2 linked regions of the Macaca fascicularis genome follow. The protein of the gene in region 1 purifies or fractionates together with the protein of each later gene. This does not show direct contact. Links are inferred from orthologs where the notes say so. Each region holds a gene or a part of one and is shown in the gene's direction. Other genes may lie near its edges.

Evidence for each region. Proteins that work in one complex are often made in the same cells at the same time.
Region 2: the proteins of UBE2R2 (region 1) and FBXW11 purify together in Homo sapiens (affinity purification with mass spectrometry; 4 studies listed by BioGRID and IntAct, with this or other methods). This does not show direct contact. The link is inferred for Macaca fascicularis from reciprocal best matches to the Homo sapiens genes UBE2R2 and FBXW11.

What each region holds. Positions count from the first base shown.
Region 1 is NC_088389.1:65,589,721-65,594,575, reverse strand, and holds the start of UBE2R2 (ubiquitin-conjugating enzyme E2 R2), read left to right. Parts: upstream 1-1,584; 5' UTR 1,585-2,191; coding exon 2,192-2,368; intron 2,369-4,855. UniProt on the Homo sapiens protein: E2 ubiquitin-conjugating enzyme that accepts ubiquitin from an E1 ubiquitin-activating protein, and catalyzes its covalent attachment to other proteins by an E3 ubiquitin-protein ligase complex.
Region 2 is NC_088380.1:178,663,329-178,667,399, reverse strand, and holds part of FBXW11 (F-box/WD repeat-containing protein 11), read left to right. Parts: intron 1-163; coding exon 164-413; intron 414-2,862; coding exon 2,863-2,981; intron 2,982-4,071.

The sequences.
Region 1 (4,855 bases):
GTCAGGAGATCGAGACCATCCTGGCTAACACGGTGAAACCCCGTCTCTACTAAAAAATACAAAAAAAAAAAAACTAGCCGGGCGAGGTGGCGGGCGCCTGTAGTCCCAGCTACTCGGGAGGCTGAGGCAGGAGAATGGCGTAAACCCGGGAGGCGGAGCTTGCAGTGAGCTGAGATCCGGCCACTGCACTCCAGCCTGGGAGACAGAGCGAGACTCCGTCTCAAAAAAAAAAAAAAAAAGTTTTTTCTTTCAAGTTCCTATGAATCATTTACCATGTGCCAGTCACTACGCTAAATGCTGTACATACGTTTAATCATTATAATTGCTTGTGTTGGGTATAATTAATCCCCTTTTACAGAAGCTGATGAAACAGCCGGGTGTGGTGGCAAGCACCTGTAGTCCTAGCTATTTGGGAGGCTGAGGTGGAAGAATCGCTTGAACCTGGGAGGAGGAGGTTGCAGTGGGCCGTGATCGCGCCACTGTGCGACGACCTGGGTGATAGAGCAAGACCCTGTCTCAAACAAAACAAAACAAAAAAACAAAAAACTGATGAGACAGGGAGAAGTAATGTGTGGAACTAGGGTTGGAACCAAGATCTGTCCGATTCCGAAATTGTGTGTGTAGAACTCTCACGGTATTCTGGCTTTTCTAGGAAATGTTTTTTAGGCAGTTATCCTAGGACACGCCTTCCTAAGAGAAAGGAGTACTGTATTCTGAACCACGGGGACCAAAGACTGTCCCCACATCTCATTTCGGTTATGATTATCTCGAAAGTCCCTCAGTTCCAGGGTGGACATTCAAGCCAAAAGGACCTATAAGGGGTCAAAGTTCAAGCACAATTTTACAAATGGGGAGGGCGAAGGGTAGCCCCAAATCACAATGAGAAGGGCAGGAGACCCACTTTGTTATTGTCTCTTTTTCCTCACAACTTCCTCTTTGTAGTTAAGAAGGGAAGCAGAAGCTGACCTTTCTGTCTTACCCCGTTTCTCACGTGGAACTGCCGCACCCAGGGTGGGTAACGTGCCCAAGGGCATATTTGCCTGTGGGCTGGCCTGCGGGAAGGTCTGTTGCCACGGAAAAGACCCACATTCTCAGCACATCCTAATCAAGTAGCTACTAAGTGGAGGGACCGCAGACTGGGTGTCACAGGGAGGGGCCTGCAGCGACCAGGCCCGTCCCAGGATGGCTGCCGAGGCCCCTGGATCCACAGTGGGGAGGGCCCCGAGAACCGGGGGACCTGGGTTCCCTTCCGGGGCACGCCTTTGGAACTGCGGCGTCCAGCCGCACAACCGTCACTATGGGGCCACGGCAATCCCTGCGCCCATCCTCGGTCCCCGCTGCCTCTGGGCTCTTTATAGGCGGGGGACACGCGCCGGCGTCACAAAGCGCCGCGACCGCGCGGGAGGCCAAGAGGCGTGGAAGCGGGAGGAAGAGGAGGAGGAGGTGGTAGTGTAGAAGAGCCAGGCACGGTGGGGGGAGGGGAGGGAGGGGCGCGCGCACGCGCGTCGGGTCGCCAGCCGCTGAGAGCCGCCCAGCTCCCGGCGTGCGCCCCTCCTCCCTCTCTCCCTCCCTCCCTCCCTCCCTGCTTCTCGGCTCCGTAGCTCCCGCGGCGCGAGGCGCTCTCGCTCTCCTCCTCCTCCTCCTCCTCCGCCGTCGCCCCTCCCCCCGCGCAGCCGCCGCCGCCACCGCCGCGAGACCCCCGCACGCCGCTCTCCCCCCACCCCCTCCAGCCCCGCGCGCCCTCCGGTCCCTACGGCCCCCGAAGAGAACGAGAGGGCGAGCGAGCGCGGCGTTCCCGGGCCGGCCCGGCCCCCTCCCTTCACCATCGCCGGCCCTCCGCCGCCTTCCTCCGCTTCCACCTCCTCTCCCCCCCCCCAAAGTTGAGGCCCCCCTCCTGGGGGGGGGAGGACCGGGACCGGGACCCGGAGCGAATTCCCCTAACTCCCTCGACCTCTCCTCTCGCCTGGCCCGAGTGTGAGGAGAAGGGCCCGGCCCGGCCCGCGTCGTGTGTGAGGAGGACCGCGGGCGGGCCCACGGGCCGTGTGGGGCCTGGTCCGGCCCGCCGGGTGTGTGAAGACCGGGGCCCGGTGCGGCCCGGCCCGAGGGCAAGCGGAGGGGAGGGGCCTGGTCCGGCCCGGCCGGTGCGTGAGGACTGGGGCCCGGGCCCGGCGCCGCCGCCGCCGCCGCCGCGATGGCCCAGCAGCAGATGACCAGCTCGCAGAAGGCCCTGATGCTCGAGCTGAAATCCCTGCAGGAGGAACCGGTGGAGGGCTTCCGGATCACCCTGGTGGACGAGTCCGACCTCTACAACTGGGAGGTGGCCATCTTCGGGCCCCCTAACACCCTCTACGAAGGCGGCTACTTCAAGGTACCCTCACCCCCGCTCCCGGACCCTGCCTCCGCGGCCGAGGCCTCCGGCTCCCCGCCGCTTTCTGCCGTTCCTGGGACCAGGAGTATGAGCACGGGCCAGTGGAGGGGGCTCCTCACCCCGGCAGCCCCCTCCCCCATCCGTGGAGGCAGGAAGGCCTTGCTCGCCGAGTGCCTTTTCTTTGTCATGGGGGCGGGGGCGCGGGCGAGGGCGGGAGGGCAGGCTGCACCGGGAAATCGGAGAGTCTCTCTCTGGTTAGGGTAGTGGCTACAGGCGCAGGAGGCCGTCTTTGTTTCCCCAGCTGAGGGCGGGTGGAAAGAGCGGTGGTCTGTCTGTGCTTTCTCGTCCTCCGGTCGGAACCCCTCCCTGCGCAGGCTGGAACTGCCCCAGAGGGCAGGGTGACCTGCACCGACTGGATTGGACTTTTCTTTTTTGGGGGGGTGGGGGTGAGGGTGGGGGAGGGGCACCAGCTTGTCATTTAAGAAGCTGCCGAGTGCCCTGACATTTTGAGGATTTGTTGGACTTCTTGGGTAGTAGTAGTGCCAACTTTGCATTCCAATGGGTGGTGGTGAAGAATGGGACCCTAGGGGTGGTTAAAAAAAAGGGGTGCCCGCGTCTTGTCATTATCCTTTTGGGGGAACTTTAACCCTCTTTCCGTTCACATTCTCTGCTTACCTCAGTCACTGGTTCTTTCAAAATGCCCTTTGTCCTCACTGTGCCACCAAGTTTGCCAGCCTTTTTTTCTACAGGTAGAAATATCCACAGAGGGTGGAACGAGTCATGTAGGGAGATTGATAGCTTCCCACTTTCAGAGACAAAATTGAAACCTTCTCAAGTGGTTAACTCTAGCTAAAGGGGTGGTCTCACAGGTGACAAGTATCTGAGGCGAGATCGCTTCTCTGGGTGGGATATATGTTTGCTTAGCGACCACAGACATTGTTTCTATTGTTTCATATGGTTTTAGAACAGTGGTTATTCTAGAATCTAATTTTTTTTTTTTTTTTAACTCCAAGGTAGTTAACCTGGAGATAATGAGTGTTTGTTTTGTTTTGTTTTTACTTGAGTGTTTTTGCAGGGAGGAATCACAGATTGAAAGTTTGAATGTTTTAAATGATGCGGGCAGAGACAGAGGAAATGAGTGCTTAGGAATCCATTTAGTTTTATTTTTTTATTTCCAAAATTAAGTAAAATAGGCCAGTGAGTCAATTTTAGTTTGGAAGGGAGGGGTTATCTTGGCACAAGTTTTAAATGAGTATCTTAGTCATGTAGTTGTGATGTGTATTTTTAGGACTACCCAATTACTTAACTCTTGTTTTCTACCCTTCTAAAGGTGGAAACCTCAGTTTTATGCTTGAAATTAGGTCAACTTTATAGGAGATGGGATTTATACAGGAATGTTTAATATTCGCTACTGTGATAGTCACTGAATACTTAGAAAAGCACGTTTTTAGAATATTATGTAAGTGCGGTACCCCTACCGACTGTTAGGCTTCATCTTTTGTGGTCAGCCTACCCTATACTTTTCAGATGGAGGTATTTAAAATTTCTAAGAAAACATGCAAGTTATTAGTAACAAAGTGGAAAGGTATTGCTGTGTTTATGTTAAGCATATTCTCTGTTGTCAGATATAAATTTTTATGCATACTGGAAAAATGAGTTGTACAAAATTGAATCTATGTGATGCCTTTCTTTCTTTTTTTTTTTTTTTTGAGACTGAGTCTTGCTCTGTCACCCTGGCTGGAGTGCAGTGGTGTGATCTTGTCTCAGTGCAACCACTGCCTCCCAGGTTCAAGCGATTCTCCTGCCTCAGCCTCCCAAGCAGCTGGGACTACAGGTGCACACCACCACGCCCAGCTAATTTTTGTATTTTAGTAGAGATGGGGTTTCACCATATTGGCCAGGCTGGTCTTGAACTCCTGACCCTGTGATCAGCCCACCTTGGCCTCCCAAAGTGCTGGGATTACAGGCGTGAGCCACCGGCCCGACCATGATGCCTTTTCTGACAAAGCATTGTTTAGCAAAATCTGCTGGCTAATGTTAGTGGAATAAAGTTTACTTTCCAAAAAATGTCATTGTTTGGTACAACCGATATTTAAAGTAAATAAATGGTTACTAGTTAGAATAATCTCACTCCAATACAGTTAAAAACAACAGAAAAAAAAAAAAAACTTGTACATGAGAGAAAATAATGGGTTGCAAATTGTAATATTTGTGTGTAAGTCTGGGAAAGGAGTGTGGAGAACCCTGTCCGTTCGAAATAGGTAGTATGGAAGGATTCCTTGTGTTCATACACTTATTTAAATTAAATGCTTCTGAACTTCAGTCCTTATTTAAAAAGAATGATTTAATCTCCTGCTTTGCGACGTTAGATTTCTTAAGCTTTGAGTCTTTTTACCTTTAATTCTGACACGTTTGAAAATTTGTAAACAGGTTTCGTGGTTTAGTCTTGTGTGAGAAGTTTGTTCGATTTTATTTTCTACTACTTTT
Region 2 (4,071 bases), on another chromosome or scaffold:
TCAGTCCCCACTTCCAACCCTGAGGATCAGTTTCAACATGAGATTTGGTAGAGTCAGACAAACCATATCCAAGCCATTGCAGACCCAGACAGAACTCAGATGCCAGAATCATTTCCTGGCTATCTCCGTAATTAAGCATCATGCTTTTTCTCTTCTCTCCTAGGGTGTGGGATGTGAACACGGGTGAAGTTCTTAACACATTGATCCACCACAATGAGGCCGTACTGCACTTACGCTTCAGCAATGGACTGATGGTGACCTGTTCCAAGGACCGCTCCATTGCTGTGTGGGACATGGCTTCTGCGACCGATATCACTTTACGCCGTGTCCTGGTTGGCCACCGGGCTGCTGTCAATGTAGTAGACTTTGACGACAAGTACATTGTGTCCGCCTCTGGTGACAGGACCATCAAAGTAAGTATGTCTGCAGTCATAACCCAGCCTCCTCCTGTCCCTTTTAGAACAGAGAGAAAGCAGAGGTGGCTTATACCAACCTGGTACCTGGTAAGATCTTTATTCTCCTCTGTGCTTAGTGTAATGTTTTCAAGGTTCATCCATGTGCTTTGTAGCATCTATCAGCTTTGTCCCATTTTTGTTGTTGTTGTTGTTGTCGTTTTAAGTACAGATGGGGTCTTGCTATATTGCCCAGACTAGTCTTGAACTCCTGGGCTCAAGCATTCCTCGGCCTTCCAAAGTGTTGGGATTAGAAGCATGAGCCACCACACCCAGCCAGTACTTTGTTGTTTCCAGTGGCTGAATAACATTTCATTGTTCTTCTGTTTATTAGTTGATAGACATTTTAGTTGTTTCTATTTTTTCGGCTATTACAGATGATGCTGCTATAAATATTAGTGTAGAAGTTTTCATGTTTTTAATTTTCTTAGGATGGTAACCCTCTGTTTTAACTTTTTTTTTTTTTTTGAAGACAGATCTCACTCTGTCACCCAGGCTGGAGTGCAGTGGCACAGTCATGGTTCACTTCAGCCTTGACCTCCTGGGCTCAAGCCGTCCCTCAGCTCAGGGACCCCTGAGGCTCCCACCTAAGCCTCCCGGCGTAGCTGGGAGTACAGGCACTACCAGGCCCGCCCCCTGCCCTTTTTTTTTTTGTAGAGACCAGGTCTCACTTTGTTGCCCAGGCTTGTGGAACTGCCAAAGTGTTTTCCAAAGGCACTGCACCGTTTTACAGTCCTGCCAGTGGTATGTGGGGGTTTCAGCTTGCGCAAAGAACATCCTTTTCATGACCAGCACTGGAAAGCATTCTTACACCTAGCCCCACAAATCACAAAGTGTGTAGCATCAGGCTTTAGACTGGATAGTTGGGAAGCTAAACAACTAGGATTTATATGTGGCAGCTTACTCCCACAGTCACACCAATTGGTATGAGACCAGTGCCTGAAAGTTGAGAGGGTCTGAGCTTTATTACAAAACAGCTGTTTCATAATACCAGCATGGAGGATTTCTCCATATCCTCGCCAACACTTGCTGTTATTTGTCTCTTTTCTTTTATCTGCCCTAGTGAGTGTGCAGTGGTGTCTCTGGTTTTGCTTTGCATTCCCTTATTACTGATGATGCTGAACAACTTGTTGTATGCTTATTGACCATTTGTGTACTTTCTCTGGAGAAATGTCTATAAATCCTTTGCCCACTTTAAAAATTGATAATTTGTCTTTTTATTGTTGAGTTATAAGTTCTTTATATATTCTGGACACAAGCCCCTTATGAGATACATGATTTGAAAATATTTTCTCCCTTTCTGTAGGTTGCCTTTTCACTTTTTTGATGGTATCCTTTGATGCACAAATGATTTTAATTTTGATAATGTTCAATTTATCAAGACACTGAAACTGTATAGTTTCAGTGCTTACGTGTAGGTCCTTGATCCATTTTGAGTTAGATTTTTGTTTAAGGTATGAGGTAGATGTCAAATGCCATTCTTTTACATGTGGAGATATATTTATCTATCCCATTCAGCTGCAAATGCAGCTGTTAAGATAATTCAGGGCACTCTGGTTGCTGTGTGTCTCCTTATTTGTCTAATAATACATTGAGATGTCTATGAACATCTAAGTCTTTCAGATAATATCACAAAAGAGGGGATTATTTATTCTACATACATACAATTAGAAGTAATGTGTCAAAACAAATGGAGCTGTTCAAGAAAATATGCTGGAAAAGAGGATTATATGAAAGATGAAACTTTTTGTTTGTTTTTTGAGACAAAGTCTCGCTTTGTCACCCAAGCTGGAGTACAGTGGCACAAACACGGCTCACTGCAGCCTCAACCTGCTGGGCTCAAGTGATCTTTGCACCTCAGCCCCCTAAATAGCTGGGACCACAGATGTACACTACCACGCCCAGCTAGTTTTATTTTTTGTAGTGATGAGGTTTTACTACGTTGCCCAGGCTGGTCTCAAACTCCTGAGCTCAAGCAATTCTCCCGCCTCAGCCTCCCGAAATGCTAGGATTAGGTGTGAGCCACTGTACCCAGCTGGAAGCTTTTTTATTACATTAGCTTCATTGGGTTTGACATGTCAGCTGGTGTAAAAACATAAAATCTGGCCCAAACTCTTTCCTCCAGGTAAATGAATATCCAAACCATCTAGGAGATGTTCTCTTTGTAAAGATCTCAACGACTGGAGACTTCACTTCCCTCCGTGTTTCATTCCAGTGTTATTACTCAGCAGCCAAAGAAAATGTTATGCTGTCTAGTCTGCCCTCTAGCCTCCCAACTTTGAGTTAGAGGACACTGTATTTTATAATCACATATTTGGGTCATTCTCAGAAGCTGTCTTTTTAAGAAAGGTATATTGTGGGAGGACTTTTCCACATTCATTCTTTAAAATATTGTTAATTTGTTATACAGGTCTGGAGCACGAGCACCTGTGAATTTGTCCGTACTCTCAATGGGCACAAGCGAGGCATTGCCTGTCTCCAGTACAGGGATCGGCTGGTTGTTAGTGGATCATCAGATAATACCATTAGGTGGGTAGAAGTTGGTGTGCTGACAGAGCAGGCTGATTCTTGCCACGTTGTTGACTCATCTCCTGGTTCTAATGCTCAAAACAACTCAGAGTAAATGGGATGTTTCAGATAAGAAAGCTTTAGGTAACTTTTAGAAATGTATTTGGCTCTGTATACTCAAGTGGGAAAACCGTGTATGCCCTGGGTGGTCTTCCAGTGTTCCCCCAGTACATAAAGTTTTTTAACCTCAACTCCACCCAGGATCACTTAATATCAGAGCACTTCAGAACAGACTAGGGTGCTGCAGCCCAACTCGCTCTGACTTCCCTCACCTGTAAGCTCCCAGCTTCCTACCTAACACATGGGAGTGTACTTTATTTTTCTCTCCCAAGACTGCATTATGGAATCATCCATTCCTGCCGGGATCGTTTACCTCCATTTTTCCTTCCCAGCCCTCAGCCTCCTTGCTTTCTAATAAATCTAACTAACCTTAGACATTTTGTATCTTGTTAAGAACATGCCTTCAATATCTACTTAATTATCCCGTGCCATTTCCCCACTGTCTTAACACACTCTAGTGGCTTTACATAAGTGACTAAACTTAACTTTGGTTTATAATCAAATTGACTAATGTTTGGTCAAAATAAAGATAGGGTTCAAGATTATTAAAAAAAAATACACATACTAGTAGCTTTACATAAGCTTTACTAAACTTTGGTGTTTATAACCAAATTGCCTAATGTTCGTTCAAAATAAAGATTGGGTTTAAGATTATTACAAAGTTTTTTTTTAAAGGCAAGCAAATAACAAAAAAGCTATAACGGCTCTTTAAGTTTGCTTTATCATTTTAGGCTTTAAGATACCATAAAGTTAGTTTAGAGCTTAAATCTTGATTCTCTTATATTCGTCACGCTTTGTGGTATTGCTTAATGTTTCATCAGTAAACAGTTCTTAACCTCCTCACTGGAATTGTTGAGGTTTTACAAGATAGTAATGTGTATTACTCTGCAGCTTATAGAAGAGAACCACTTTGGAGTCATAGAGGCAGTACTGAATGACTTTGATCACAGATTAGAGATGCTGTCATCACGGGTACTAAGATTTGCTAAGG